Anolis sagrei: one gene and its partner. The protein of the gene in region 1 interacts with the protein of each later gene in a pairwise test. Links are inferred from orthologs where the notes say so. Each region holds a gene or a part of one and is shown on either strand. Other genes may lie near its edges. The genes, in order: E3 ubiquitin-protein ligase RNF103 and ubiquitin-conjugating enzyme E2 E2.

Evidence for each region.
Region 2: the proteins of E3 ubiquitin-protein ligase RNF103 (region 1) and ubiquitin-conjugating enzyme E2 E2 interact in a two-hybrid assay, tested with the Homo sapiens proteins (2 studies listed by BioGRID). The link is inferred for Anolis sagrei from reciprocal best matches to the Homo sapiens genes RNF103 and UBE2E2.

The regions. Positions count from the first base shown.
Region 1 is NC_090026.1:52,481,082-52,497,994, forward strand, and holds the start of E3 ubiquitin-protein ligase RNF103, read right to left. Parts: upstream 6,969-16,913; 5' UTR 6,844-6,968; intron 6,192-6,843; 5' UTR 6,143-6,191; coding exon 5,917-6,142; intron 1-5,916. UniProt on the Homo sapiens protein: Acts as an E2-dependent E3 ubiquitin-protein ligase, probably involved in the ER-associated protein degradation pathway.
Region 2 is NC_090026.1:86,085,674-86,102,528, forward strand, and holds the start of ubiquitin-conjugating enzyme E2 E2, read right to left. Parts: upstream 9,188-16,855; 5' UTR 8,742-9,187; intron 1-8,741.

The DNA of each region.
Region 1 (16,913 bases):
TAGTTTGGTGAGTCATCAGCATTATTTGGCAGAGAAAGCTCAAGAACTTGTAAAACCACATGATTTCATACCACTGACCCAGAGCAGTTAAAGTGGATTCATTCTACAGCATACATGCACCCCAAGTTTTTATTTTTCATTGCAGGAAGCTTTCGTGCTCGAACATATTTGTTTTTAAAGAAGCAATTCTAAGCACGTCGCAACGGCAATGTACCTTTTTGGCCAAATTACAAAGAGTGCAATTTTTGCCGCTGTGCATTATATTCAGCAGCAAATTTTGTTTTAGTTTCAGGCAGGCATGTAGCCGGGGGGGGGGGGGGGGATTGAGGGGCTTCATCCCCCCCCCCCCGAAATTCGCATGGTGGTCCGCGAGAAGGCCTTACTGGTACATTATTTAAACTTTTATGTTTATTCATATCATGATCTGATCACCATGCTCAATATATCCCATATGCATGGGGGTATTGGGGTAACGATACAAAAGGTTTGCTAGGATAGACCCTCTTTCAATCAGACTCTGCCCCCCCCCCCCGAATCAAACTCAGCTCCCCCTCCCCCCCAATCAAAATCCTGGCTACGGGCCTGGTTTCAGGGTTTTGAAAATTGAATTGCGAATTAGATTTGATGGTGCATTAGTCTCGAGTAAATATGATATTTTCCATAAAAATAAAAATGTGACTCTTCTATTTCAATCCACATATCTTCTATTTCAATCCACATATTTATCCACTAATCCAACGTTTGACTGAAAATACATATTCCACTAAGTTTAATGGCACACCTTTAAATCTAAGTTTATATATTCCAGGTACCCAACACTTTAGTGCCTTTTCTGCTAAATTTAGTTTTAGGTTAAATTTAATTATGTGTAAATTGTCTCTCGGTTATTTTACACACTAGACTTTCCTGTTTTATTTAAATTATATCACTCATTCTCTGACTTACTCCCTGAACCCACTTCACAGCTTAACAAGTTCCACAAAGGGAGCTATTTTGCATTTGATCCTCTAATTCCGAAATTAGTTCCATTTCAGAATTCTTGTATGGACTTGCCTACAACTCAGTAGATTAACACTAATGCTCTATATCACCATTTTCCAGGGTATTCAGCAGATCTTAAAGGAACTGCCAGTGCATGCCTATTAGGGATGAGCATTTTTTTCATTAGTCGTTGTAAGTCACATTAAATTTGTTAAATTTTTACTTGCAATGTGATATCCAACATGCGGGCATAGCCCGTGTGAAAAACTTAAGAACTGAAACTTATCCAATACTTTTTTTGTTTGAATTTTGTAAATCTTGGAAGCTTCCTAAAGTCAGTTTCATTTTCAGAACAAGGAAGCAAACCCAAAAAAGCTGCAATTCCTTTTAAAATTAGTAGCCTCTTGCCATTAGGCAAGGTAAGCAGCAGGGCAGGGAGAAAGCAGAGTTTGCTGGGAAAGAGACTAAGGAAGCACAGAATTCTGGGAAATATAGTTTGGGAAGGTGAGGAGCCCTATGTCAGAGAATGCACAAGGCTCTGCCTTAAACTACATTTCCCAGAATTCTGCTCAGCATCAGAAAGCCCCGATCAGGAGAGGAGAGAGGTATTTCCCTTCATAGCAGCAGCCAGCCAGAGTTCAAGAAATTGTTGAATCTTCAAAGAGAAGGACTAACCAACATTTCTAATAAGTAAATCTTTGTGCTAAGCTGGGAAGAAATCTCTAAATGGAATTGGTTAATATGAAAGACATTCAATGAGATGGCTGTTGTGACCCCAAACATTTTTGTCAAAACTTTTTTTAAATCCCTAAAATTAGTAGATGTATGAGTATTTCTTAAAATTGGGGGGGGGGGGGGGGGATGATCCCCTGTTATCTTGTGTCATTGTATAGAAAATTCAAGGAGATAGCTCTTGTAGTATTGGCTAGAAAACCTGCCAGAGCAGGTTTTTGGGGAGTATAGAGTGGCAGGTGGGAGAGGAGGGGGAGCACATCTATACTAACCACCTAATATAGGTTGCTTTGGAACTGATTTGAGAAAAACTGTTTTTTTTCTGTGCTAATGATTAGACTGACAAATCTGTAATAAGTTTGAGGCCAAGGAGGTGATTACATTAACCACAGAAGGTGGCCTCAAATCACTTCCAGAATCTGCAGTATCCCATTGGAGAATGTATCCCATTGGAAAATGTATCCCCCGCCTCTCTTCATTTCCAGTTGAGAAGGTGAGAATGCCAGATGTGTGACATTTAAGAGTGAAGGTAATCAATTACCTGTCCAAGGGGGTCAATTATCTCCTTGCTGCCTAGCTATAGCTCTGGGGTGTTTTTGAAGTTCCCAGAATTTTAAAATGTGCTCCAGTAAGGGTGGATGTCTATAAAGAGCTTCACAATCTGCAGAGCTGTTTTTGTCATGCTATGTGGTTTAGATTTAGGTCTCAGTGAAGCGCATTAATTATATTATTAGTGTAGATATGCCCAAGAAAGTTTCACTGAAAACAAAAAACATAATGTTGAATTTAGTCCTAAGATTCATTTCTGGAACAGGTAGGCTGTTAAACTTATCATCTGTCAGTACTGTGATTCAGTTTCAAGACAGGAGATAAAACATGAGCTGCTTTGAACACTAACTGGCAGTTAAAGAAACATCTATTTTTAAATTGTACTAAATTTTAGATCAAAAAGGAAATTTCAAAATAAGCAATAACTAAGCAAGAACAAAACTTAAGAGTGTGAGGAATCTTTATTTTTATTAACATACAAATATAAAATTTAAGTTTAAAATTTCATTTAAAACTAATTTCCAAAACCAATCACATTTTATTGTTGACCACATAATAGTATTGGGATAAGACTAGATTTTAGAGTTGCCAAGAAGAAACAGAGTTTAGCCTTTAAGTCCAGACAACTAGTTTGCTCACATCTATCACAACATTTGCATCCTCAAATCAACTAAATTGATTCCAGTTTGTTTAACTGTTCAAATTATTCAGTGGCATGGAGCCATCCATTTTTTCATAACAAACAATACTATCATGCAGAGGATCATCTGACATGAGGCATTCAGCTTTTGTGGGCGGTCTTGTGCTCTTAACCTCCATGAAAACTACATATTTTTTAAAAAAGGAATTTTTAAAAACCCGAAGAACATCTCTCTGGGAATCTCTATGTCCTCCAGAGCCATTCTGTGCACAAATTGATAACATATTAATCAAATCCACAAGTAAACCTCAGAAGTTAAAACCGCAAATGTGAAGAATTTACTATGTTCTGTCACTGTTAACAACCATAGTATGACTATATGAATTTGAAAATACTGATTTTCAAGATTCTACAGCCATATTATGGAATGTGTGAACCTGTACATCATATTCTACTCTTTTCTACTCTAACTGCCACAAGTGCAGACTCTTGAAGGAGCACTTCAAAAATCTGTTACACAAGTATATCGTAGTCTCAACTTCTTTGTGTTTCCCTGTCTTTTGAACAGTCCCCCTGACCAATTTCCAATTCTCTGACTTTCTAGAAAGTGGCAATCCTAGTGTGAAAGGCAGACCAATGGCCTGGTTCATTATAAGGCACTTCCCTATGTTCATAATAAAATGATTAAGCCACCCAAGATGTATGCAGGGGCTGAGAGCCAGGATTGCTATTTACACAATTCAAGTTTTAAGGAATTATTATATGAACAGACAGAGAATCGTTATGTACTTGCATGCTTTTTTAACAGCTCAGTGCATCTATGGACATGAAGTCATTACTCAGTCATATTAATTTATCTCATCTGACTATTACTGTTGGTAGGCAAACATTTACATGACCAAACTATTATTTATTGCATTTGTGGGCATCGATTTATTACACCTAAGTGTTCACAGTCAGTTTGAAAGTATGCTTAGAAGAGGATTTCAAAAAGATGTTTAAACAACTACACCTCTGACACACCTCACTTTGCAAACAAATCTTAACAACCAAGGAAACTGTTACATATAATTTCTCTGAAAATGCTTCCATTTCCTAATTGTACTGAACAGTATGTTATATTGAGATGACTTATCTTACTACTGAGCAAGACCCACTTCTGTGCAAATATGCTGAAGTCTGCACTGAAAAAGATCAACAGTGTGAACACTTACTTATATGGAGGTCAACAGGATCTACTGTAAATTGCAAGTAAACGTGCAAGGAATTAGACTGCAAGTAGTCTTATAATGCTACTACTTAGGCTTAGCATAATGGTTACATTTTCTGAGCAGAAACCAAAATCAAAGTAGGCAATAATGAAGATAAGTCACAGTAATAATCAATTTAAGGTTTAGAACAGGTGGCAATTCTATTTTATAATTTTTCCTGGTGCTGTTCAGATAGCACCAGATGATGTTGTCATACTCCTTGATCATTTTCATTTGCACATGGAATTTGTTTTTTCTGTACTGCTGTGAAGAATGTCAGTCATATTCCAGCAATTCTCCATGAAGAATCTGGGTGCATTTCAACCTTTGAGCTCATTCCTGCTATTACTAGGAATCTTAATCTAGCATTACTCCCTACTGAGCTTTCTTCAAGTACTTGATATTATGTGATAAAAGCATTTGTGCATATTCTGCTACAGTTAAGTAGTTTTACACACTGGACTTAATAGCCTTACCACCTACTCACATACAGAGCTTACTTATTTCAAAATGGTACGCCATGCCTGATGCATTTCAGGATTCTTCTGCTCTTTTAGCCAAGTGCACTAACATTTTATAGGAGAGCTCTCCAAACTGAGTGTCGCGAGACATTAGTGTATTGGTTGCAGTGTGTAGGTGTCGCACGAATGAAACAAGAAATCTCTGAGTCTGTGTGAAATAAGTGATACTAACTTGCATACACATTTATGCAGGAAAGGTGTTGATTAGTATTAGCAATGTTATTAATCATAGAATAGTAGAATCATAGAGTTCGCAGAGACCATAAATTTATTTATTTATTTGCTTTATTTTTATACCGCATTTTTCAGCCTAGATTAGGCGACTCAATAAAGGCCAGTCCAACTACCTGTCATGCAGGAAAAAAAACAATCAAAGTACTTATGACAAATGGCCATCCAGCCTCTGCTTAAAAACCTCCGGAGAATGAGACTCTTATTTAGAGTTTTATTTCTAAATGGCAAAAATCTTTGACATAGATATTATTATCTTACAAATCATATATTTAAATATATATACATAAAAGTTTTCATGAGACATGTTGTATCCCCATACTTTTTGTTACTACAATTTATGTATGTATCCATGCCTCTTGTTAGAGGTTGGTTTAACCTTCAGTTTGCTGAAAAACTGAATTACTGTGTCGCAAAATGATGTATGTCTAAAAATGTGTCAAAGAGTATGACATATCATCTAATTCTAATGTTTCCGGAGATGTCCCACTAAGAATTATAAAATGAAATGTGTCATTTGTTCTAAACCTTACATGGATCATGACTGTGACTTATCTTCATTATTGCGAACTTTCATTTTAGTCTCTGCTCAAAATATGCAAGCATTATGCTAAGTCCAAGCAACAGCATAATAAACCTACTTGCAACTAATTTCTTGAACCAAAAGGAAAACCTAACAGAGGCTCTAAGGTCCAACTGCCAAAAAGTCCGGATTATCAAAGTAGAGGATCACTATTATCTGCTTTGAACTGGATTATATGAGGCCCCTTCCACACAGCTGAATAAAATCCCACATTATCTGCTTTGAACTGGAATATATGGCCGTGGCTATATGGCTGTATGGAAGGGTCCTGAGTCTATACTGCCATATAATCCAGTTCAAAGCAGATAATCTGGATTTTATATGGTAATGTATAAGGGCCAAGAGAAGGAATCAGCAATGCAAATAAACAATAAAAGGTGGGGGAGGAGAGAACACGAGCAGAATGCTGACAAATGGATATTTCCTTACCTGACTTCTCGACCAGTTCCCTGACATCCTTCTTCTCCAGAAGCCCAGAATAGCCAAGCCCCCGGCACTCCAGGATGGTCTTCAGCTTCTTGAAGCTCAGGGCCACGGGGTCCACCAACTGCGTGGCAAAGAAGCCCGTCTCGTACCACACAATGGCCTCAAAAAACCTGGCCAGGATGAAGAGGACCAAAAAATACAGCAGCAAGAAAAACAGCTTGAGCCACATCTTGGCTGGAGGGTTTCTCTCTTGACTCTCTGGGGAGAGTCAATCAATCCTACAAAAGAGACAGAGAGAAATGTCCCGATGGAGATGGAGGAGACAAAAAGTGGAAAGGATTCATAACAACGCCCAGGGTCTCTTTTAAAAGATCCTAATAGGGAAAACTAAGGAGAAAAGGCTAGGGGACATTTCAGACCCACTGGGGGTGTGGGCAGGCACAAAAATGCGAGTAAATTCCTCTCTTGGGCATTGCCAAACGAATGAGAAAGGAGAGAGAACTCTAGTAGCGGGATGAAAGTGGGAGGCAAGGTGTGGACCCTGAAAGAAGAGGGGGGCTGTCATTGAAGGAGGAGGAGAGGTTGGAAAAGGGGAAAACCCTGAGGGAAAGGAAGGCTCTTGAAGAGAGAGAGAGAGACCAGAGACTCGTCGCCTTCGTCGTCGCAGAGCCCCAGTCGAAGGAGACACAACAAGTGACGTCTATCGCCGGCGACAAGCAGAGAGGGGAGGGGGGAGAGAGAGGGGAAAAGCAAGGCCGCAGCCTCAGGAAAAGGCGTGAGGGGTAAAAAAAGGGAAGGCCGCACTCCCTTCTCACTGAAGAGTTTTGTCTAGAGACTGAGGGGGGGAGTCCTTTTTCTGGGGACTCCCATTCCCAGAATTCCCATTCCCAGAAAAGGGACTCACTCCCCCTCAGGTTTTCGTTAGCCTACCTATTCCCTCATCTTCCAAAGTCTTCTCAGGCCGCAGGCCGCCGCCTCTCTCGAGTTGCCTGGCTGCCTTCGGACGCGCTTCCGGCAACTCTGCCTCCTTCCTTGAAGCCCCGCCCCTTCCATTGAGCGAAGAGGGAGGGAAAGGGGGAGGAGCCAGAGAAGGCTGAATGAATGCAGTTTGTGATACTCCTTGGACTGCCCTGGCTCAATGCTAGGGAATCCTAGGAGATCTAGTTCTCCTACGCCTTGAGCTTTCCCTGCCAAGAAGTGTTGGCACCTTAGCAAACTACAAAGCCCAGGGTTCTCTAGCGTTGAGTCATGACAGTCAAGATTGGCGTCAAACTTCATTCCTACTACATAGAACTACTACTACTCTTGCACTTTATCTTGCACTTTATTGGACAGATGGCAAACTATTTAACCTCAGCATACTGAAAGCCAAAACCAAGGTTACAACAACATCTGTTATAGAACTCCAATATGCTGATGACAACATCATCTGTGTGCATTCAGAAGAAGACCTACAAGCCACTCTAAACACCTTCGCAGAATCTTGGTCTGTCATTGAACATCAAGAAAACCAAAGCGCTCTTCCTGCAGTCACCAGCCAATCTCTCCCCTCTGTTGTTTAACATTTATATGCGACCACTTGCTCAGCTGGTTTGAGGTTTTGGGCTGGAGTGTTACCAGTATGCTGATGACACTCAGCTGGTGCTGAGGATGGAGGGCAGACCAGACTCTGTACCCGATTATTTTCATCAGTGCCTCGAGGCCGTTACTGGATGGCTGCGTGTCAGCAGGTTGTGGGTGAATCCAGCAAAGACGGAGATCCTATGGCTGGGTCAACCGGGCAGTGGGGACATCCAGCTGCCTACCCTGGATGGATGGAGCCCCCGGTGGTGCAGTGGGTTAAAGCACTGTGCTGACAGGACTGAAGACGGACAGGTCGCAGGTTCGAATCCAGGGAGAGGCGGATGAGCTCCCTCTATTAGCTCCAGCTCCTTATGCGGGGACATGAGAGAAGCCTCCCACGAGGATGATAAAACATCAAAAAATCATCCAGGCATCCCCTGGGCAACATCCTTGCAGACGGCCAATTCTCTCACAACAGGAGCGGTTGCTCCCGACTGGACAAAAAAAAAAAACCTGGATGGTGAGGCACTACGTCTGTCATCATTGGTAAAGAGTCTGGGAGTCCTTTTGGACCCTCTGCTGACAATGGAGGCCCAGGTCTCCGCCGTTAGCAGAACCGCCTTTTTTTATCTGCGGCAGGCTAGACGGCTGGCCCCCTACCTGTCCAGGGACGACCTAGCTATGGTGATCCAGGCTACGGTCATCTCAAGACTGGACTACTGTAATGCCCTCTACATCGGCCTTCCTCTATCGGTGATCCGGAAGCTCAAGTTGGTACAAAATGCAGCTGCTCGGCTTCTTGCGGGAATTCCGATGAGATGCCACATAACACCAATCTTACTACAGCTGCATTGGTTACCAATTGAGCACCGGATCACTTTCAAAGTGATGGTACTCATCTTTAAGGCCTTGCATGGTCTGGGGCCGATGTACCTGAGGGACCGCCTCACCCCCTACCAACCCCAGAGATCCCTCCGTTCTGAGGACCAAGATCTATTGGAAATTCCCAGTGTCAAGACCTTGCGTCTAACAGCAACCAGACGCAGAGCCTTTACAGCAGTGGCACCATCGCTCTGGAATACTCTGCCACCTGAAGTCTGTGCCTTGTGGGACCAATCAGCTTTCCGCAGGGCATGTAAGACATATCTGTTTCGACAGGCCTTTGATCTCTGATATTGTTGTTTTTAAATTGTTTTATATTGTTTTAAATTGTTTTTAAATTGTGTTAGATTTTAGACTGTTCTTGTAAGCCGCTCCAAGCCCCAGGGAAGTGGCGGCATATAAATTTGAATTATAAATAAATAAATAAATCCTACTCCAATGCCAGAAATGCAGCTTAATGGTGTAACATTAGAAAATGTTGATAATTTCTGCTACCTTGGCAGCCACCTCTCCACAAAAGTCAACATTGACACTGAAATACAACACTGCCTGAGCTCTGCGAGTGCAGCTTTTTTCCGAATAAAGCAGAGGGTGTTTGAGGACTGGGACATCTGTAGGGAGACTTGTTTGATTATAATGCTGTTGTCCTCCCAACCCTGCTATATGCCTGCGAGATATGAACTGTCTATAGACATCACATGCAACCCCTGGAATTATTCCATCAGCGCTGCCTCCCTGTGGCCGGTCCAGCAGACCAAAGCCCCCTAAACTCAGAAAAAAAGAAAAGAACTCACCCGGCCTCCCTAGAACGGCTGCCAGAGTTCTCCTGGTGCGTACAAATGACGCGCCAGGAGAAAGAGTGGAGGAGCGATTTTCTTTGCGCACCCCTCCTTTCTCCTGGTGCGTCATTTGGCTTCCAGGGAGGGGGGGGGGGTTAGTGTCCCAATGTTGTATTGGGAAGTCCCAGAACAACAACTGGACACCCACCACAGAAAGCACGTGCTTTCTGGAGTGGGTGTAGACAGCCTCCTAGGGACATCCACGTTTATTAAACGTGGATGCTCCTGGGATAAAAGCATACTTGAATCCGTCCCCACTTTTTAAGCTACTTTAAAAAATGTCAGTCTACAGGGTATTATAGTTTTACAAGGTCTTTAGCCTTCTCTATGAAATAGTGCTGCTGCCTCGCAAAACTATGGGCCCTTCCACACAGCCATATAACTCAGAACATCAAGGCAGATAATCTACAATATCTTCTTTGAGCTGGAGTCCCTTCCACGCAGCTGTATAAAATCCACATAGAACTAGATTAAACACCAAGGTGGATTCAACCCAGTTCAAAGGCAGGATTACTTGCCTTGATAATTCTGGGTGATATGGCTGTGTGTGTGGGCCCTTCCAGAGAGGTCCTATATCTCAAGATCTGATTCCAGATTTTCTGTTTATCCCAGACTATCTGGCAGAGCAGGCTCATATAATCTAATTTAAAGCAAAAAACCCGGGATCAGATCCTGGATATAGGGCCTGTCTAAATCCACTCTGCCATATAATCCAGTTCAAAGCAGATAATGTGGGATTTTATACAGCTGTCTATAAAATGTACAACTCACAGGATTTCATAGCATTGAGCCAATTAAAGTAGTTTCAAACTGCATTAATTCTTAAGTGTCAATCAATCCCAAGTTTCAACTTCTTCCACTTTGTTGCTTTTCCTTCAGCTTATTTCAACTGGTGCAAACCTATTCAAAGTGCAAAAGTAGTTTGCACAATTTGGCCTCTTCTATACTGCCATATAAAATCTAGATTATCTGCTTTTGAAATACAGCAATTTAAAGCAACCATAGATAGTGAGATCTGAGCCATTGAGAGCGAAACCTGAAGCGTGGATACCAAGTCCTGATCAGCAGTTACCAGTACCGGCAGTGCGCTGCCCTGTAGGTCTGTTCACCTGGCAAAATGAAGAAGCTAAATCAATGTTCCTAATAAAGAAATCTCACCAAGTTGAAGAAGCCACCAAGGTTTTTTATTCAAGTCAGCTGAAGTGGATGCTAATTCGCGGTAGTTTACCAAGCTGAATACCACTGCAATGTCAAACATACATTTTTATAGACAGAAAACCTTTTAATTTCCGGCACCTGCCCCAGCTGGAATCAGCTTCACTGTGATTGGCAGAGGCCCACTGATGTCACAATCAGCTGGGTGGGATTCCCTGATGAGGCAGGACTGCAGCGCTAACCAGCCAATTGGAGAGCATTCCCTGCTTCCAATACAGATTCCCACTATCCAATGGCTGGGGGGGGGGGGGAGGGCAGACAGGTTTGGGAGACAAAGGATTGTCAAGTACTTTGAATTAATCACCATTGTCGCACCAAGGGACAGAAAAAAGAGGGGCTATCAAGTCCCATGAATTTTGTGAAAGTCTTTTGTGAATATGAGTGACCCAATAAGGTGTGTCTGGCACCCACAGTGCCCATGTCCATTGTTTCTCCTGCAGAGTATTGTCCAAAGTGATGGGATTAAGAATCCAGGCCTGGGAAAATGGTGCATGACTTTCTAATTGTTGGGATGGTCATGCCAGGGGATAGATGTCTTTGTAATGTCCAAGTAGCTGCACAAAGGACAGGTGGCCTAAACTCCGGATTCCTGTTGCCTTCTGCACAGCTGGATTTATGGGGCCAGTAGAGGTGGACTGGCCCCGAGGGTGATTGAGTCCTTTATTTGATGCGATGGTGCCCAGGAAAACTGCTGGAAGGAGTTCCTGTGTCATGAAGTGCTGACGAAAGATCACCAAAAGGTCTTGGTCGGTGGCATACTTTTCCAAAAAAGAAGTTTCATATAAGGATATAAAATATATACATTAAACATGTACAGAATAAAGATCCATGGGGGCGGGGGCTGGTAGAGTCGTTCAGGGAGACATAAGGGTGGTCAATATGGGAAAAAGAGAGAGAACAAGCCCCTTAACGGGGGGCGAGGTCGTCTTGGGGCCACGTGGGCCCCATGGCTCTTTGGCCACCAGAGCTGGCTGTGGAAGGCAAAAGGAAGAAGACTCGGGACGCAAAAAAAGATACAAAGAAGCAAAAGTAGAGGATAACGCACTAGGATGCATGTTTATTAGGGGTTAGGGAGCAATATAACTACCAAAGAGGAAAAGATTGTTTCAAAAAGCATCCTGCCGCAGTCCCAGCGAGAGAATAGCTACCGCTGGGCAAAACAGGAATATATTATTTATGTACTTAATTTATATCCCATCCTTCTCAATCCTGCAGGGGACTCAGGGCGGTTTACAACAAAGGCACAATTTGATGCCACTTAAAACAATCTTTTTATTCAATTACATAAAATAAAAAGGGGGGTATCAGGAGGGATTGAGGTGGAAAAAGTAATAGGGTAAGAAGGGAAATGGAGGGGGAGTATAAGGGGGGAGTCAAGGAGAAAGGGGTGATTGAAAAAAGAAAGAAGTAGAAAGATGGGGTCCAGGAAAAAAGGGAAAGGGTGAAAGGATTTTAGCTCCCTATCTTCTAATTTCTGGGATATACCCTCTCCTTTCCGCTCTTCTTATACACTACATCCTCTTCTTCCGAAGTTGTGGGGGTGAGTACTCTTCTCCCCATAGCATTTATATCCAAATTTAATTTTTTTCTTCTCCAAGCTGCTGTTGTTTTATTTTGATTACATCTAAGTTGTTGTGTCAAGCTGTCTATGTTTCTAACTTCTATCATTTTGGTTAACCATTCTTTTAAACTAGGGGTTTCTTTTATCCTCCAATATCGAGCATAGACTATTTTAGCTGCTGATGTTAAATAACTAAATAGCACCTCTTTATTTCTGTCTCAGTCAACATCTAAAATACCCAGTAGGAAATACTCTGGTTTGATGCCACTTTTAACATAAAATAAAACATATAAAGTCAGTAATTTAAAACACATAATCTTGAAAAAATGTTATATCAAAAACCACGCAGTCCAAAAGCATATTCCAAGAGCTGTTCCATAAATTGCACTATTCAATAAGGTTCTTGCCAGCTGCAGCTTGTCCCTGCCGCAGTCCCAGCGAGATAATTTAATTATTTTAATGGCCCAGGGGAGTTTGGGGGGTGTTTTACGTTTGACTATTCTTTGAACTGGATTCTATCGCAGTGTAGACTCAGATAATCCAGTTGAAAGCAGATCATGTAGATGATCTGCTTTGATAATCTGGATTATATGGCAGTGTAAAAGGAGCCGAAGTGGACAGGTGGTACTGCCTGGTTTTCAAAACAGCAGGACAGTCAATATTCATGATATGCAGGGGTAACAATCAGGAAGCGAATACGAACAAAAGCCTGTATATTCATGTATATTGTCAAAAATATATGATTTGTAAGATAATAACTTCTATTTCCAAATTGTTATTATTAACTTTATTTGTACCCCGCTAGCATCTCCCGAAAGACCTGATGCGGCTTACAAAGGCCAAGGCCTCAAAACACAACATAACAATACACAACCTAAAGCAAATTAAAAACAGTTAAAGCAATATTAAACAACAAGCAATAAACAATACACCAAGACACAATAAAACTGGGCCGGGCCAGAGTAATGGGTACAGATTAAAAGTGCTGATGTGGCAGGTGATATGTAAGGATTATAGGGTAAATGCAGTGTGCCAGCAATCTTAATTTCTAATAAAGTGCTTATGGGACTTGGTATTGGAGATTTCCTATTCTGGAAAGGCACATCGGAACAGCCAGGTCTTCAAATTCTTTCTGAAGAAAGCCAACGTAGGGGCCTGTCTAAGATCTTTGGGGAGGGTATTCCAGAGTCGGGGGGCCACCACAGAAAAGGCCCTGTCTCACGTCCCCACCAAACGGACCTGCAACGCAGGCAGAATCACGAGCGGGGCCTCTCCGGATGAACGAAGTGAGTGCGTGAGTTCATAAACAGAGATTTCCAAACAATGTGATGCGGCGGGGAAAAAGCCAATGGGATTTTGACCTGCAATAGTATAGTGTCGAGATCCAGGGAAGTCATGCTACCCCTCTATTCTGTCTTGGTTAGACCACATCTGGCATACTGTGTGCAATTCTGGGCACCACAATTCAAGAGAGATATTGACAAGCTGGAATGTGTCCAGAGGAGGGCGACTAAAATGATCAAGGGTCTGGAGAACAAGTCCTATGAGGTGTGGCTTAAAGAGCTGGGCATGTTTAGCCTGAAGAGAAGGCTGAGAGAAGACATGATAGCCATGTATGTGAGAGAAACCAACTGATCCCTAACCCATCTAAAACACAGACGTGCGCCTTTCACCTCAAGAACAGACAAGCATCCCGAGCTCTGAGGATTACCTGGGAAGGAATCCCACTGGAGCATTGCAACACATCCAAATACCTGGGAGTCACTTTGGACCGTGCTCTGACCTACAAGAAGAGCTGCCTGAACATCAAACAAAAAGTGGGCACTAGAAACAACATCATACGAAAGCTGACTGGCACAACCTGGGGATCACAACCAGACACAGTGAAGACATCTGCCCTTGCGCTATGCTACTCTGCTGCTGAGTACGCATGCCCAGTGTGGAACACATCTCACCACACTAAAACAGTAGATGTGGCTCTTAATGAGACATGCTGCATTATCACAGGGTGTCTGCGCCCCACACCACTGAAGAAATTACACTGTTTAGCCGGTATTGCACCACCTGACATCTGCCAGGAAGTTGCAGCCAATAGTGAAAGGACCAAAGCAGAGACATCTCCAGCTCATCCCGTTTGGGTATCAGCCAGCACGTCAACGACTTAAATCAAGACATAGTTTTCTTAGATCTACAGAGACACTCGCTGGAACACCCCAGCAAGCGAGAGTCCAAAAGTGGCAGGCCTAAACCCAGCACCTCAATTCATGGGTGATACCAGATGAGAGACTCCCCCCTGGACACACAGAAGACTGGGCGACTTGGAAGGCGCTGAACAGACTGTGCTCTGGCACCACGAGATGCAGAGCCAACCTTCAGAAATGGGGCTACAGGGTGGAATCCTCGGCATGTGAGTGCGGAGAAGAACAAACCACTGACCACCTGCTGCAATGCACCCTGTGCCCTGCCACATGCACAATGGAGGACCTTCTTGCGGCAACCCCAGAGGCACTCCAAGTGGCCAGATACTGGTCAAAGAACATTTAACCAAATACCAAATTTGCAAAATCTGTGTGGTTTTTTTTCTCCTTTTTCTTTTTCCTTTTTCTTTTTAATCTGTGTGTTTGTTTTGCTCTGTTAGAATTGTAATACAATGGTTGCTGATGACACGATAAATAAATAAAATGTGAGAGGAAATCATAGGGAGGAGGGAGCAAGCTTGTTTTCTACTTCCTTGGAGACTAGGATGCAGACAATGGCTTCAAACTACAAGAAAGGAGATTCCATCTGAACATTAGGAAGAACATCTTAACTGTGAGACCTGTTTAGCAGTGGAACTCCCTGCCCTGGAGTGTGGTGGAGGCTCCTTCTTTGGAAGCTTTTAAACAGAGGCTGGATGGCCATCTGTCAGGGGTGATTTAAATGCAATTTTCCTGCTTCTTGGCAGGGGGTTGGACTGGATGGCTCATGAGATCTCTTCCGATTCTATTTGTGTAAATTTGGGCCTATATATAATCCACATTGAACTCGATTATATGGTACTGTGGACTCAGATAACCTTGTTCAAAACAGACATTGTGGGATTTTCTGCCTTGATATTATGGGTTATATGGCTATGTGAGAAGATCAGAAGTTGAGGTCGAGTATCCGCTTTTTCAATTGTGAGGCCCACAAGCTGTTTTTCTATCGCTAGCCAGCAAGCGACGGAAGTTAAACCAATGGCGGGAAGACCCCGAGGAGTCACTTCCGCTTTCCAGCCTGTGTTTACTCATTAGACCTCACATATAAACAAACAACACCCCCCCCCCCCTTTTTCCCACACTGTCTGTCAAAGCTCTTGACGCAAAAAGTCCGAAATGGGCAGGCAATGAGGGACTCCAATTGGAGGCCAGTCTTAGGTGCCTGAGTTAATGCCTGACTTGAATACGCAGAGATGTGTTTATCTAGTGTAGAACAATAGACTGAAGTGTAGATTCACACACAGTTCTCCACTTTTGGGTTCATTGAAAGGACTTTCCAACTGAAATTATCCTACACTTTGGGATTTCCCTGATATGGGCAAACTTCTGCCCTCCGGGTGTTTTGGACTTCTAGATTATTGATGTGGCCATACCAGGTGACAGTTGCATTGAGGAAAACCTCATCCGTTATCAGGACCTCAATATTGAACTGCAAAGGCTCTGGCATAAACCAGTACGGGTGGTCCCAGTGGTCACTGGCGCACTGGGTGCCATGCCAAAAGATCTCAGACGGCATTTGGAAACAATTAACATCGACAAAATCACGATCTTTCAACTGCAAAAGGCCACCTTACTTGGATCTGCGTGCATCATTCGGCAATACATCACACAGTCCTAGATGCTTGGAAAGTGTTCGACTTGTGATTTTGAGATACGAAATCCAGCATATAGATCTCGTTTGCTGTGACATACTGTGCTTTTGTGTCAGTATAATAATAATAATAATAATATTTATTTATACCCCGCCACCATCTCCCCAAAGGGACGGCTTACATGAGGCCAAGCCCAATAATACAATTACAATAAAATGGGTTGTAGGTTTTTTCGGGCTGCATGGCCATGGTCTAGAGGCATTCTCTCCTGACGTTTCGCCTGCATCTATGGCAAGCATCCTCAGATAATGTTTTAATGTGTATGGTGCTGATATTTTAATCGTGTAATGAAGTGGCATTGTGTTGTTATTGTATATTTTTTGTATGTTAACACATGTTGTGAACCGGTCCGAATCCCTCTTTGAAGGTGAGAGGGTTGGTATATAAAACCTCGAAATAAATAATAATAAATCAGAGGTAGTGAGGTCTGTTGGAACTAGGAAAAGGGGTTTATATCTGTGTGGAATGACCAGGGTGAGACGAAGGACACTTGTCTGCTGGAGCTAGGTGTGAATGTTTCAACTAACCACCTTGATTAGCATACAATGGGCTGACTGTGCCTCGAGCAAACTTTTGTTGAGAGGTAATTAGATGTCCCTGCCTGCTTCCTCTCTGTTGTTGTGCTGTTTCAATTTTAGAGTTTTTTAATACTAGTAGCCAGATTGTGTTCATTTTCATGGTTTCCTCCTTTCTGTTGAAATTGTCCACATGCCAATAATACAATTACAATAAAATGAATACAAAACTGCAAAAATTGTTGTTGTTGTTCATTCGTTCAGTCATCTCCGACTCTTTGTGACCTCATGGACCAGCCCACGCTAGAGCTCCCTGTCGGCCGTCACCACCCCCAGCTCCTTCAAGGTCAGCCCAATCACTTCAAAGATGCCATGCATCCATCTTGCTCTTGGTCGGCCCCTCTTCCTTTTGCCTTCCACTTTCCCAGGCATAATTGTCTTCTCTAAGCTTTGCTGTCTCCTCATGATGTGGCCAGAGTACATCAACTTTGTCTCTAGTATCCTTCCCTCCAATGAGCAGTCGGGCTTTATTTCCT
Region 2 (16,855 bases), about 34 Mb from region 1:
GGTGGAACCAAGAGAAGGGCCTCTTCTGATCATCTCAGGGCTTGAATGGGCTGGGCCCGGACTTTATAGGCTAAGGCCAGCACTTTGAATTGCACCCGGAAACAAACTGGAAGCCAGTATAGCTGCTTCAGGAGTGGAGTAGTTCTTTCTTTATATCCTGCCCACGTAAGAAGTCTAACAGTTGACCTTTGGACCAGTTGGAAGTTTCCAAATGCTCTTCTGGGGCAGCCCCATGTACAGCATGTTACAGTAGTCTAACCTGGATGTGACTAAGGCATGTACTACTATGGCCCGATTGGGCTATTCAAGTTATGGATGCACCTGGCGCACTAGCTTTAGCTGTGCGAAGGCCCTCCCAGCCACTGCCGACACCTGGGCCTCCAGGGTCAGCGCTGAGTCCTGGAAGACCCCCGAGGCTGCGAACCTGCGCCTTCAGAGGGAGTGTGACCCCATCCAGCACAGGTTGCAGTCCAATACCCCGATCAGCCCTGCAACTGACCAGTAATACCTCTGTCTTGTCTGGATTCAATTTCAATTTGTTCATCCTCATCTAGCCCATCATAGCCGACAAGCACAGGTTCAGGGTCAGAATGGCATCCTTGGCATCAGGTGAAAATGACTAATAGTAACTTTAAAATGGTAGAAGCACAAAGTCGTGGCAAGGAAGCACGAAAGGAAGAGGCAGAAGCATCATTTTCATCATATTGTACTCATTCCAGCCTCCCTCTCTTGCTCTCTCTCTCTCTTCAGGAAGCCAAACACACCAGGAATAAAAACCAGACAAAATAAACATGTCAATAAACATGTCAAAATAAACACAAAGTTCCTCAAAACAGACAGCAATCTACCAAAGTGGACAAGAGCAAAGCAGAAAGCAATCTCCCAAAGCAGACATGAGCCCTAAAGCTCTGTACTCTGGCGCTAGCGCTCCCTCTGGCGCTAGTGCTCCCTCTGACTCAAAATGCTTTTAAGTTGTGCCACTCTTAAGTAGAGGATCTACTGTATATGAATAGCTGTGGTATTTGTGTGTGTTTTAACTATTAACTATACTGGGGATTCTGATGAATTAAGAGAAGTACAGGAAATCAAACAATCAAGTAAACAAATAATGTAAAAGATGATAATCCTGCTCCTCTGGGCAGGTTCCTTAACTGTAACCCACTAATACCATAGCTGTCATCACTATCTTCAGGGTAAGCATAGTTCAAGGCACCAGTGGGATTTCCAGATCATGAAATGGGTGATTACAACTAGGTTGTTTTATCAGATTGCTGCCTCTAAGGACCAAATGGTCCAATTAAGGCCTAGCTACTATAGTTGTTCTTCCCTGAAATGACATGGGATATGTTCAAGTTACCCTAGAATTTGCGCTGAATAGCCTAAACAGATAGAGAATGTAGAACACTAGGATAAAAATGATGAAAAGTTGGGGACAGAGGTCAAACAAAACTTTCAACCATTTGCTTAAGAATAATAAACAGTAGTAATGTTTTTTAACTCAAAATATTTAAGGGCTTACAAAGGATAAATCTGAGTAATTGTTTTTTTCTCAAAATAAAGAGACAGGGAAATGTTAAGTCAACAGGTAAAAAACTGGATCCACTACAATATATTATTATATATTATTTTCCAACATATATCATTGGACCATTTATGGAAGAAAACATTAAATTATTCCATCCTACATGAGAGTAAATAAATGCCTTTTAAGGAAATGTGTGGGTCAAGTATAGATTTTTTCCTTCTGAATTTTTGTTTCCTCATATAAAATATATAGACAGATTTGATCAACCATTCTTCAATCAGGTGGCAAGCCAATGGCAGGGAGTTTTCTGTTCCCACTTGGCCATTCATTTTTGTAAACTATTGATAAATAACATAATTTGAAATATAGTTTAATTTATATTCTAACTCTTTGCAAAAATAAATAAATAATAGAGGCATACAAAGTTGCCGAAGAGATGAACGAGACCAAAGTATACACATATTTTTCTTCTAATGATAAGGCACTTCAACGTAACACTTAAGAAAATCTCAAGCACATGTTTGCACTTTATTGTTGCAACTATAATCATCACTACTTTCATAAATAACTATATTTTGTTTTAGACGCTCAGATTAATTTAATCAGATAAATAGGAAAGGACAGATCTGCAAAAGATACCATTATTTTGTCAGATCATGACAATACATACATGTTTAAATCTGCTATTTGGTGTCTATTTCTTCATACCTGTCCCCAAATACACACACAAACACAGAGGATTCTGTTCTACACCCAATAAGCAGTAAACTAACATTCAAGTCACTTTTTATTTGAAGAAGCTGACAACAAAATATAACTGGAACAAAAACATCTTTACCCTGTGAAGTTCAACCTTTTCTATGCCAAGAGAGAATAAATAAAACAACAAACAAACTTAAAATCAACAGAGGAGTGTGAGACTGTAGCAAAATGTTTTATTGCAGTTATTAATACCACACACAATCAAGTCGCCTCAAGGTTATGTCATGGTGCAATGAATGTGTGTGTGTTTTTAAGGGACACTGCCTAAATCCGTTTTCTATTAAATTATTCCACATCTGAAAAAGGCTTTTATGTGTCTGCTAAAAGAAAAAGATGGGACCACAGAAGGGTCAAAGAGGTTAAAGTCTTTCCAAGAACACAATATAATGAAGCAGAATGTGGCCGCAAAACTATATGGGCTCTCTACAACTTTTAAATACAAATACACAGAACCACTTCACAACCTCACATTTTTCCTTCTCTGCCCTTCCACTACTTCTAAAAGAATACACAAAACTCTAGTAAAAAAACAACTAGAAAAGACAGAAATGTTTTATAAAGTAACTGTTAATCTCCTATAAACAAATATAAATTGAACTTTTTTCTGGATCTATGACGAGTAGCAGCAAGCACTTCCTGACTGTCAGAATTTAAAACAGAATTAAAGACCCATCACTTCCAGCAGGCTTACCCTGTCAGTTTTAAACTATGGGTTTAAAATGTATATATTGTTGATATGAATGATTTTGAAGTGTTTGAATCTTAGATCTATTCCTGATAATATATGTGTTTTAATGATCTTATGTTTTTATCTATGTATTTTAACTATGTTGTACCCCACTTCATGTCTTGAGAGACAGGTAAATTTTATGATCATCATCACCTTCATTAGAAACCAATCGTGGTGAAAGGATCGCGCCATTGGATTGGGGGTGGGGGGGTGGGATGCTGGTTTATAACCAACTAGGCCAGAGATTGTGATGGGGGTGGAGAAGAGAAGCAGATGTGCTGGACTGATGCAGACACAGCGTATATACAAGTCGCCTATTTTTCAATTTCCCCAGAGGGGTGGGAAGCCACATGTCACAGACATAATTATGCAGAACTGAAAATGGAAGGAGGCTAAAATGGTCACTTTTTAAAAATGTAACATTTTCTCAGGCACTTCCCTTGGAAAGGAAAAAACAAGAGAAACCGAGGCATTGAAAGGGATGAAGCTAGGAGAGAAAATGAAACCAGGGAGAAGTAGACAGTGAAAGGGTTAAGATTGGAAGTAAAATTGAAAGGAAGGCTTCAAGCAGATATGGGATGCATATTAAGAGCAGTCCAGAAGGAAACCAGGAACTGAAATTGAGGGGAAGTCAGAAATTCCCCAACATGAGATACTATTTCACAAAAGCCTATGGCCTATTCTCCCACATATCAAATTGATATGGGTTTTCAATAGGAGAAAAATGGGAAGTTGTCATATTCCCCAATTTCAGGACTCCAAGCAATCATAAGAGAGAGGAACTGGTATTATTTCTCAATAAAGAACTTATCTCACTGACTAGGGAAGTAAAAGTGGATTTACTGCACATGGACACATTGAAGGGATTACTGGCATGTAAAAGGACAAAGACAAAGAAGATAAATGCAAGCAGGACAGTGACAGCACCAAAACCTTTGGTATTTTCAGAGCAACTCTAGGTTGAGTGATTCCCCACTCTGTGTGCTACTGTAGTCACATATAGGCATTATTCTAAAAGAAATATGTTTCAACAATGAACTAGTAGGACAAACAACAGAAACAGGAAAAGTGGTAATAATACAACAGCTCAAGGGAATGGTGGTATGTTACAATGAAGAAGTTACAGGAAATCTGCTTGTTATTATGAAAAGATATATAAGGAGAGTAGCATGCAATGAACCTGTATGAATAACTCAGACATAATGGGGATTTTAGTGGTTTGGCTACTGGTAGTTTATCATCTGGGATTCTCTAAGGAAGTGAGAATCAAATGCTGATGAATTTCCACAAGATGAATTTCTCACATCAATATCACTTTTATGTGAACAGTTATGTGAGTCTAATATACACTTGTCAACCACAATAAATGAGTGGTCAATTTTCCCACATGGGATGGCATGAAAATCTTGTATGGGAGAACTGTTTTTGTCATGTGTTTGCACATATTGTCTCAGTTATATGAGACTTGTCATGTAATTCTGAGGAAATTATATTCATACAGAAAAACTGGTCAAATGAAAAGTAGTCCCAAGACTACAAAAATACTATATATTGCCATGTATTCGCAACTTTCCATTGAGTACTTATGCAGGGGAATGTGCTATTAGTCTAATAAAGGCTCTTTTCCTCCACTGAATGATGGAAATCTTGTAAGGGTGGGAAAACTACAGCCTCCAGATGTTGCTCTAGCACATCTCTAAGTAACTTGGCCAGTATAGCTAATAATAAAGAATTCCAAGAGACTGAGACCAACCCCATATGGAAAGTCACACTTCAGTATTTGCTATATTGAAAAGAATCAACATGAGACTCATGGTTCATCTACACCACATGCCTCAAACATGCCTGCAGGCCAAATCTAGCCCGTCCTCTCATTTTATGTAGCCCATGAGGCTTTCAATGCCAAGGCAACATAGTTACATTTATACAGTTTTACAATTACAAACAGCCCTTTGAAGGCAACCATAAGGATGATGTGGCCCTCGGTGAAAATGAGTTTGACACCCCTGATCAACATTGGAGAATTGATGCAATTGGACACTGTTTTAACTGCTATGGTCTAATGCTATGGAATCATGGGAGTTGTAGTTTTACAAGGACTTCAGCCTTCACTGCAAAAGAGTGCTGGTATCTCCTCAAACTGTAAATACCAAGATCCCACAGCATTGAGCCATGGCAATTAAAGTGGTGTCAAACAGCAGTGTACCATGCTACCTCAGATTCAGGGTTGAAGTGCTTCTGTTCAGAAAGTAATATATTCAGAAAGTAATATATTCAGTGAGGAGAACAACTGTGTATAAGAATAAAGTATTTCAGGTCATTTTAGGGAGCTGAGAAATAAATGGACTAAAGGCAACTATGTGGACAAAAAATGGTTTAGAACATTGCTTCTTAATCTGTCTGATGTGGGGACCAGCAATTTAAAACCCCAATGTACTAAGCCCAGTACCATATTTGTGCCCATTCAACAACTACTTTTTTTTTCTTTCCTGGAAGCCCTCCAGAGACCAGCAGCTGATGGCTCATGAACTGGCAGCAATCCACGGACACAGCTTTGAGCAGCACAGGTTTAAAGAATTAAGAACTTTGGGCATGAATAGTGAGTTTAGAAGTGGCCCTATTGCCTTGCATCTGTGACATTAACGACCTAGAATGGAAAGAGTCATATCTGAATAAATGGGACTATTGCAAAATTGGCTGCAATCCTATCCTTTGGAGAAAGGCAATAGCAGTAAGGGCTATGATCCTGTTGCAAAAACTATTTTAAAAGGGCATAGGAAGTTTTAGCAGCTCTCAGCAAACAGAGGAATTCCAGACAAGAATCAATCAGGGCCGGCTAACACCTCGCAACAAAAGATCCCACTAGGCAGCACTCAGCCAGCCTTTGAAGGTGCAAGCTGGCCAACTGCAACATTCACACTTGCCTCAAGCAGACAAGAGTTCTTTCTCCCACCCTGGAGATTCCACAGATATATAAACCTCACTTGCCTAGTTTCCAACAAACCTCACAACCTCTGCGGATGCCTGTCATAGATGTGGGTAAAATGTCAGGAGAGAATACTTCTGGAACACGGCCATACAGTCTGGCAAACTCACAACAGCAGGAAGTGGGAGAACCTCCAGAAAGGGAAATCCACTCCTAGAACAGTTATCTACTGAAGCTTTATCACCAATCCTTGTTTCCACATTTTTTAAATAAATCCAATTATTACAGGAACAAAAAGTGAGGTGGAATCTTCTGACCTGGATGACAGACAGCAAAACAAATACCATATGTATGTGTGTGCATGCCAGAGGTACACTTATAAAAGTACCTGTTCCAACTTACAAACAAATCCAACTTAAGAACCCATCTTGTGCGTAACTTGGGGACTGCCTGTATAGGGTTGCCTTTCCTGGACAAAGGAACCATTGTATTTCATAGAATCATAAAGTTGGAAGAGACCTCGTGGGCCATAAAGTCCAACCCCCTGCCAAGAAGCAGGAAAATTGTATTCAAAGCACCCCTGACAGATGGTCATCCAGCTTCTCCTTTAAAAACTCCAAAGAAGGAGCCTTTGCCCTGTGTTCAAAGCAAATACTAATGTGGGTAAAAATTACATACAATATATCTCACAATCTGAGGATGCCTGCCATGGATGTGGGCAAAACGTCAGGAAAGAATACTTCTGGAACATGGCCATACAGCCCAGAAAATTCACAGCAACCCAGTACACACACATTTTTTCATGGGAGCATCCCTAATTGCTGAGTACAGAAAGGAGGCAAAACGGGGTTCGTGACCACGGTTAGAATTAGTGTAATCTTGAAAGAATTTAGAAGGCAATTAATATTTAATACAGGTTGCCTTTCCCAGTCAAAGGAGCATTTTTATGTTCAAAGCAAATACTAATGTGGATAAAATGTACACACACACTTATGCATGTGCAGAAGGCCTGGGAGCGTCCCTAACTGCCAAGTACAGAAAGCGGGCAAAAGAGATTCAAGTTGGAATCAGTGTAATTTTTAAAGAATTGAATTTAGAAGGCAAAGAATATTTAATACGAGGTTACCTTTCCCGTGCAGAGAAGCATATCTATGTTCAGAGCAAATACTAATGTGGGTAAAAAGTACACACATGGGGTTGTTGTGAGTTTTCCAGGCTGTATGGCCATGTTCCAGAAGCATTCTCTCCTGATATTTCACCTGCATATATGGCAGGCATCCTCAGAGGTTGTGAGGTCTGAGTACACACACACTTTTGCCTATGCAGAAGGCCTGGGAGCATCCCTAACTGTCAAGGACAGAAAGCGGGCAAAATGGGGTTCAAGACCGCAGTGGGTTGGAATCAGTGTAATCTTGAAATAATTGAGTTTAGAAGGCAAGGAATATTCAATACAGGATTGCCTTTCCCAGACAGAGGAGCATTTCTATATTCAAAGCAAATATTAATGTGTGGAAAAAGTGCACACACACTTTTGCCTATGCAGAAGGCCTGGGAGCATCCCTAACTGTACAGAAAGGGGGCAAAATGGGGTTCGTGACCGAGGTTGGAATCAGTGTAATCTTGACAAAATTTAGAAGGCAAGGAATATCTAATACGGGGTTGCCTTTCCCAGACAGAGGAGCATTTCTATGTTCAAAGCAAATAGTAATGTGGGTAAAAAGTGCACAAACACTTTTGCCTATGCAGAAGGCCTGGGAGCATCCCTAACTGTACAGAAAGGGGGCAAAATGGGGTTTAAGACAGCAGTGGGTTGGAATCAGTGTAATCTTGAAATAATTGAGTTTAGAAGGCAAGGAATATTCAATACAGGGTTGCCTCTCCCACACAGAGGAGCATTTCTATGTTCAAAGCAAATATTAATGTGGGTAAAAAGTGCACAAAATGGGGTTTGTGACCGAGGTTGGAATCAGTGTAATCTTGATAAAATTTAGAAGGCAAGGAATATTTAATACAGGGTTGCCTTTCCCAGAAAGAGGAACATTTCTATGTTTGGAGAAAATATTAATGTGGGTAAAAAGTACACACACACTTTTGCTTATGCAGAAGGCTTGGGAGCATCCCTAACTGTACAGAAAGGGGGCAAAATTGGGTTAGTGACTGAGGTTGGAATCAGTGTAATCTTGGCAAAATTTAGAAGGCAAGCAATATCTAATTCGGGGTTGCCTTTCCCAGACAGAGGAGAATTTCTATGTTCAAAGCAAATACTAATCTGGATTATTTTCAATATTAAACACACACACACACTTCAGTGTGTACAGAAGGCCTAGGAGTGCTGAGTATTGAAAGGGGGCCTTGAGGAGGGCAATTGGCGATTAGAGGCCATGTAGTCTGTAGGAATTGATGTCGTCTGTGGGAGAAATTGAATGGTTAAGACACAAAAAGGGGGGGGGGCTGAGGAAAGGGGGGGGCTGGAGACGAAGGAAGGGGGCTTAAGGGAACTATTCGGCCAGTCCTGCTAAACAGATGAATAGTGGAGAGGATTAACTAGAGACTGAGGGGCTTTAGGGTTGGTTTTCCTTGAAAGGACGCCCCCCAAGTGAAGGAGGATTTGGGGGGGGGGCATCATGAGGGGATTTTTACCTCGTGGGCAATAAAGCAGGATGAAGGGGAGGAGGGGTGAAGAGAGGGAGGGAGGGAGGGAGGGAGGAGGGGGCGGTCAGTCCTTCTGGCTGCGAGAGGCGGGGCTTTTGGGTTTCTAAAATAGGGGGATACTTTCATGAGGAAGGGGGGGTTATTACCTGTGGGGGAGGCAGAGAGGGAGAGAGAGGGAGGGAGGCGGGTGGGCGCTCTCCAGCTTCGTGTCAGTCCTTCAGGCGGCGAGGGCGGGGGAGGGGGCAGCTCCTCTCCGCGGCCGGTCACTGAGGCATGTGCGCCCACCCCCTCTTCCTCCCTCCCTCCCCCGCTCGACGACGGTGACTTCTTCTCCAGCTGCTGCTGCTTCTCCTTCCTCTCTCCCCCTTCTCCTCCTTCTTCTTCTCCTCTTCCACCGCCGCCTGAGGAAAAGTAAACCCGCCGCGCGGAGAGGCAGCGCGCTCCCGACTGGGCCAATTAAGCCAAGAGTTCGAGAGGCTGAGGAGAACGGCGAGGAGGGGGCGGCGGCGAGAGCGCGCCTGCGCGTGGCCCGTAGGGAAGCGAGGCCGCGTGCCGCCGCCAGGGAGGGAGGGAGGGAAGGAGGGGGGCGAGTTAAAAGGAGGAGGCTGAGTGAGGTGTGTGAGGAAAGGGAAAGGGGGCGGGGCCAGCGGAGGGAGGGGGCGGAGTCCGTATCTCGAGTTAGAAGGGAGGCGGGAGGGAGGGGGGAAAGGGGCGGGGCTAGCGCGGGGGCGGGGCCACGCTCGGAAGGACAGAGAAGGCGGGGCCGAGAGGGAAGAAAAGAGGACACTGGGTTGTTGTGGGTTTTTTCGGGCCATGTTCTAGAGGCATTCTCTCCTGACGTTTCGCCTGCATCTATGGCAAGCATCCTCAGAGGTAGTGAGGTCTGTTGGAACTAGGAAAATGGGTTTATATCTCTGTGGACAAAGAACTCTTGTTTGCTGGAGCTAGGTGTGAATGTTTCAACTGACCACCTTGATTAGCATTTGATGGCCGGACAGTGCCTGGAGCAGTCTTTTGTTGAGAGGTGATTAGATATCCCTGATTGTTTTCCCTCTGTTGTTTTGCTGTTGTAATTTTAGAGTTTTTTTAAAATACTGGTAGCCAGATTTTGTTCATTTTCATGGTTTCCTCCTTTCTGTTGAAATTGTCCACATGCTTGTGGATTTCAATGGCTTCTCTGTGTAGTCCGACATGGTGGTCTTTAGGAAGAGCTTGAAGACGTGGTTGTTCCAGTGTGCCTTCCCAGAGTAGGAAACTCCATGCATCATGTCCCAAATGCACTTTACTAGATTAATTGCATACCGCACCTATCTCCAAAAACCTATCCATTTCACTTGATCATGTCCAGCATATTTTAAATTTTTAATCATTACATTTGGCCCAGCCTTAGATTTTAACTGTGTTGTGGTGTTATTGTTTAATGTTTATTGCTATTGCTTAATGTTTATTGCTTTGCTCTATGAGTTTATTTATTGTTGTATTTGTTGTGCTACTGTTTTACTGTTGTATTTGGCCTCGGCCTCTTGTAAGCCGCACCGAGTCCTTCGGGAGATGTTAGCGGGGTATAAATAAAGGTTTATTATTATTATTAGAGTGGTCCAGCATTTCTGTGTTCTCAAATAATATGCTCTGTCCAGGTTGGTTCATTAGGTGCTCTGCTATGGCTGACTTCTCTGGTTGAAGTAGTCTGCAGTGCCTTTCATGTTCCTTGATTCGTGTTTGGGCAATGCTGCGTTTGGTGGTCCCTATGTAGAGTTGTCCACAGCTGCATGGTATACGGTAGACTCCTGCAGAAGTAAGAGGATCCCTCTTGTCCTTTGCTGAATGTAGCATTTGTTGGATTTTCTTGGTGGGTCTGTCGATAGTTTGTATGTTGTGTTTCCTCATCAGCTTCTCTTCCCTAAGAGGACACTGGCTCTCACTTGAGAGAGAGCTGCACTCAAGATGTGAGGGGTGTGGCGGCCCAAAGCCTGAGGAGGCTCTGACTGACTGACTGATAGACTGACAGACGCAAAAGGGGGCCTAATGGCAGGGAAGGTCGCCTGAGGTGGCCTTTTGACAGGGTCACCCCATATTAGGACAGGGGTCAGTTCCCTTCAGGTGAGGGGCCTTCTCTTCCACCTCAAAAGAGTATACTGTTTACTCAACTGCTTCGAAGTTCGAGGGGTCCAAACATCCTCTTTGTGGAGGAAGAATGGAGCCCGGAGAAAGATTGAGGGCAGAGCACGAGGGCCTTCAAAGTGCCAGCAGATTTGGGTTACCATTTTTGGAGTAAAATTATGTAAAGTGCACCTCAAGTGCCGCTAAGCCTGGCAAGGGCAAACTTGGGCCCTCCAGGTATTTTGGACTTTAACTCTCACAATTCCTAACAGCCTCAGGCCTTTTCCTTTTCACTCTCAGCCACTTAAGCTGACTTTTCCTTTCCTGAATAAAATGGGGATTTTTTTGGGGGGGGGGGGGTTAGACTGGGCCACTAAGAGTGTGCATAAGTATAAACAATGTTTCACACATTTGGACAATAATAACTTCCACTTTCCTTTTGAGTCCTGTCTGAGAAGTGGGGATTGTACCCAGCTGCATTATGTAGGCCTTGTCTTGGCTCTAGGCAGGCATATAGCTGGGGGGGGGGGGGGGTCATGGTGGTCCGCGAGAAGGCCTTACTGGTACATTATTTAAACTGTTATGTTATTCATATCATGATCTGATCACCATGCTCAATATATCCCATGTACATGGGGGTATTGGGGTAACGATACAAAAGGTTTGCTAGGGTAGACCCTTTCACTCAGACTCAGCCCTCCCCCCCCCACCCCGAATCAAACTCAGCTCTCCCCCCCCCCCCCCCCCCCCCCGCGAAACAAAATCCTGACTACGGGCCTGGCTCTAGGGTAAGCAAGCAAGCAAGCAAGCCCCAAACCTCCTTATACTGTAAAAGAGAGGGAAAGTGAGTGTGCTTGCTCTACTTCATCACCAACACAGTTTGATACAAGTATCTTAGACTCGCTCCTTATCTTTGAATGCCTCATAATGGAGTGGCAGATTAACAATTGGAGGAATTGGCAGCTATTTCTTGCAAATTTGATACACTGACCTCTTTTTGTCCTGATTGGAACAGCAACTGTTTTCTGTAGTTTGCTGTTTGAAGTGCAGAAAGTTATATTTCTTTGTGTCACAATGCATACCCCAGTCATCTAGCAAAATCCCATTTTTTATCAGGAAGCTAGTTGGTACCATATACTCTGATTCATTGGTGCTTAACTTGAGAAAGGGGGGTTGGAAGGAGAGGAGAAGCAGTATGAAATAAAAGATTAATTGGACAGAACAGAGACAGTATCTTCATATATACTTCTAATTTGCTCCGTCCTATCAATTGGTATGGATGTTTTATCTCCCGTCATGTGAAGATGTTCTCAGTAGTCTCCATTCTGATTAAACTGATAATATGATGGGAGTGGAGTGAAAAGGGAAGAAAAGATCATCATGGTTTAGACTGCATATGAAGAATTTTTGACTGGGAACAGGTAGAACTGGAAGTGAGACACTGGAGCTATTCTAAAAATGGTGTGCAAATGTGACAATCAAAAACAGATATGTTTTGCCTAGGGATTATCTGAAAATAAAGCATCATGTCTGAAACATCTGGGTTTTTACTTCCAAACTGCAATGAGCATGTGTTTTAGAAGCAAAGAACAAACATAAGCATCTGTCAGAATCTAGGGTTGAGATAAATATCTATTGAACAAAACCTGTGAGCATTAAATCTACGTTTAAAGAGTTGCATATTCTTTAAACTTCTCTCTGACCTTATGAAAGGTCACTGTGTCTTAAAGTCCACAGTAAGAGCAGATGATATATTTAGTTTCTTCCTTTAGGTTCTCCTAGAAAGCCTCAACTCTCACTTTTTGCCATTCTACTCAGATAAGGGTATAGCTCATTTTTTTGATTGGAGTTAAACTATAGTACTCGCATTAACCAGTGGATAAGTCGATCCATATTTTTGGGATGAATGTTGTTCTAAAATTTCTAGACTTATGCATAGGTATACACAGTATATCAGTAATTTTTTAAAAAGTATGTATAGCTTATTGAGGATCAAAAAAGATTTACTCAAAATTAGGAACAGGAAGCTTTCTATCTTATGTTATAAGATAAAATTCTAATAAAATTCTTCCATCATGACTCTCTTTCCTAAGTTGCATGGACTTCTAGATTAGGAAGAATGTTCAGCAGAATCCTGCACTATTTGACTCTGTAATTTCATCAGTATAATATTGTCAATAGTATTACAATGCCTTCAGGTCATTTCAAACTTACAGTGACACTAAGACAAACTTATAAAAAGGCAGAATTTGTTCAGAAGGGGTTTACCCTTGCCTTTCTCTGTAGTTGAAAGAGTGTACCCTGCTCGAAGTCACAGTGGTTTCCATGGCCAAATGGGGATTCAAACTCTGGTCTCCCAGTGTCCCGACACTCAAAGGACTGTAACATGCTGACTCTCATTATAACATACCTTCCAGTTTTTCCCATGTTAAAAACTTCTTCACAAACATCTGAATGTTGTCAAAAGGGTGTGGATATGTTATTACAACATAGCACTAATGGGGAGGAAGAACACAAAAACTACTACTTAAAGCAGAGAACCATCCCTTACCTGGAATTCCAAAATACCTCAATATCCAAAATTGTCTATGTGTGTGCCATACAGCAGTACCTTTAGTTTCTAATGGTTCAAAGTTGGTGTCATCCCTTTAGACTATGTGCATAGGTGTATATGCAATATAAGTGATTTTTTTTTTGTTTACGTTTGCGTCCCATCTCCAAATCTCCTGGTGGCGCAGTGGGTTAAACCCCAGTGCTGGCAGGACTGAAGACCGAGAGGTCACAGGTTCAAATCCGGGGAAAGGCAGATGAGCTCCCACTATCAGCTCCAGCTCCTCATGCGGGGACATGAGAGAAGCCTGCCACAAGCATGATAAAAACATCAAAATCATCCGGACGTTCCCTAAAACATCAAAATCATTTGAGCATCCCCTGGGCAACGTCCTTGCAGACAGCGAATTCTCTCATACCAGAAGCGACTTTCAGTTTCTCAAGTTGCTCCTGACACGATAAAAAAAATCTCCAAATTATTTCATTTTGTGTTTATGTGCAAATACACACTTTCCAAAATCTAAAACACTTCTGCTCTTAACATGTACTGAGTTTAAGAAAGCCTGAAAAAGAAACTCCAAATCAATACATATAATTGTGTGTGTTCATGCAGAATGTTCAACAATCAATGTCATGTAATACATTATTGTAAAATCAAAATATATTTATCAGACTTTACTGAAAATTACAGCATTCTCTGACATCTGTGGTCATTGCATGAACTCTGTGTTCACATGCATGCCCTCTGCCAATGCACATTATACATCAAGTCAAATCCCAACTAAAGAAATACAAGCTGTCCATCTTAATGGAAAGATTACTGCCTACACTTTAGGTAATAATCTTTCCATTAAGATAGACAGGTTTTATTTATTTAGTGTATTAAGTATTAAAATATTGGGTATGATAGCTTCACAACACTTACATTGTAAAACAAGAGGAAATGCATCAACCAGGACATAAGAAACTGAATAAAATATATACATGCTTCTTTTTCTATCTAGATCCAAGTTTAGACATAGTGACTATCATTTAAATAGATGTATATTATTGTCGCCTTTGAACCCTCTTTCTGCTATCCATTTTAACTATAGGTCAGTAAAGCCAAGACTCCTGTTCTAAATGCATATCATTCCATTTGCACTACAATTGTTTGTAGTGCAAAAGAAAGAAAGAACAATACAATATATTGTCGAAGGCTTTCATGGCTGGAATCACTCAGTTCTTGTGGGTTTTTTCGGGCTATATGGCCATGTCACAGACCTCACCTCTGAGGATGCTTGCCATAGATGCAGGCAAAACGTCAGGAGAAATGCCTCTAGAACATGGCCATATAGCCCGAAAAACCCCACAAGAACTGAACAATACAATATATCAAATCAAGAACAATTTTAATCAACACAAACTTAACAGTATTTCAGTGAAAGACCCCAGAGGCCATTCAGTCCAACCCCCATCTGCCATGCAGGAAAAGAACAATCAAAGCACCCCCAACAGATGACCATCCAGCCTTTGAAATAATAATAATAACCCCAATGGGACTCCATAGGCCACGTGCTTCCTAGGCAGTGGGGAGCAGGAGGACCTGCAGTGTGATTCACTGACTGTGCTTCACTGACCCCCTAAGGGCTTTGCAAAGCACACTTTGAGAACTGCTGAACTAGAGGAATGTCCTTTGAACAGTAGGATTAGCCCCTCACCATAAGGGGGCCATCAATATATACAGATTTGAATTTTGGAATTCTGTATAAGAGTTCTCAACCTGTATGGGGATACAAACTTGTTATAGAAGTGTAATTGTCAAACAATATTGCATGAATGCTAAATTGTTATATCACTATTTCCACTTCTGCATTTCAGAGGTACCCACTTAACACGTCTTAGAATCAATTTCTCCTCAGGGCACTTTATAGTAGTAAATCCAGGATAGAAAAAAATAATGTCTGCCATGCACATACTTCTCAATAAATCCACATCCGCACAAAAATGCTGTATACAGAATCTGGCATTTCAAATGCTGCAGGCAGCGAGATTCATTTTAAACTGTTAATAATATAGTAGGGCAACAACCATTTTCTAGCATGTCTTTAACTAAGTAGTGTTCCTGGTCTTAAAAACATTGTTGGACAGGTTGCTATTTTACAGAAAATAAAGTATTTAGAAGACAGAGCCTTCAGTTGACAATGGAGATGTGACAGTTGCTTTGCTGGTAATCCTTGATTTGAAAATAGTGAACACCTTGACCCACCCTTGAAGTATGTTCTTAACTTCCCTAAAAATTTCAAATGTTCTTCACTTTCTCTTGATTTAATTTTAGTCCTGAAAACTGCCACAAGATACTGATATGTTAAACCACTGAGCCGAAGTCTCTCATGCGTCTGAATTCATGGTTTCTATTCAGTTTACATGTAAATTGGCATTGCTGCAAGTAAAGTTGTGAGATAATAGTTTTGGATATATGATACCTTGCATTTTTTTTCTTTTGTAATTGGTATCTCATTTACATTGGGAAAATCCCCAAGAAAATATTAATTGATTTTTGTTTTCATGTCAGGAGCGACTTGAGAAACTGTAAGTTGCTTCTGGTGTGAGAGAATTGGCCATCTGCAAGGTCATTTCCCAGGGAATGCCCAGATGTTTTACCACTTTATGGGAGGCTTCTCTCATGTCCCCACTCTGACAGATGGGAACTCACCCCACTCCCCGGATTCAAACCGCTGACCTTTCGGTCAGCAATCCTGCCAGCACAAGGGTTTAACCCATTGCGTCACCAGGGGCTCATCATGGATTTCAATAATTTTCCAGGATAGAAAGAACTTGTGCATTTGATTTCATTATTTGTTTAAAGTACTGAACCACTTGATTATACTTCTTGACAACATAAATCAAAAGTGTTCATTATCAGAAAATGCAAAAGTAAGAAGAACATACAATGTCTCCGTATTTATCTTCCTCAGTTTTCTTTTGAAGCATCCTTGGTTGCATCTCCTCTCCTCTCTTTTATGGGAAGCATTTTCACCTAAGTACCATTTGAATGTAATCACCAATGTGGAGGGGGTGTTACTTTTAAATAACAATGTGAAATCAGCCATCTTAAGTGTTGTAGAAATATGCCACATCCTAAGTGATACAAAATATATTGCAGATGGAAAAATGAATAACTTGTCTCTGACTTCCACAAAGCTCTCAGAAAATAAATCATTGCTTAGTGTCAGGAATGAAAGCTTGTCTTTATGTGCTAGTTTAAAGAGATTATAGCCAAGTAAAATAATTGCAGAAGGTGATTCCAGGATAATTTGTCTTCAGATTAACAACTACTAAATTCCTAATTCAATATGGCACTTCAAAATTTTCCACCGTCTGAGCACAAGGAGAGCATAAAATCCTTAGACAAACACATGTTCTCATTTGTATTTATTTTCTTTTGACTTAAGCAATACATTCAAAGCTCCAGGTTAAAATACATTGCTTATATGTGTTTTGTCTTTCCGTAAAGTTTGTACTAGTGGCATATTAACCTATGATAACAATGTGCTTCAGAGAAAAGGAAGTAGTTTCACAAGAAATAAGACAGATTATGTGTGGTACTGGTAGAGAACCAAGGAGGGTT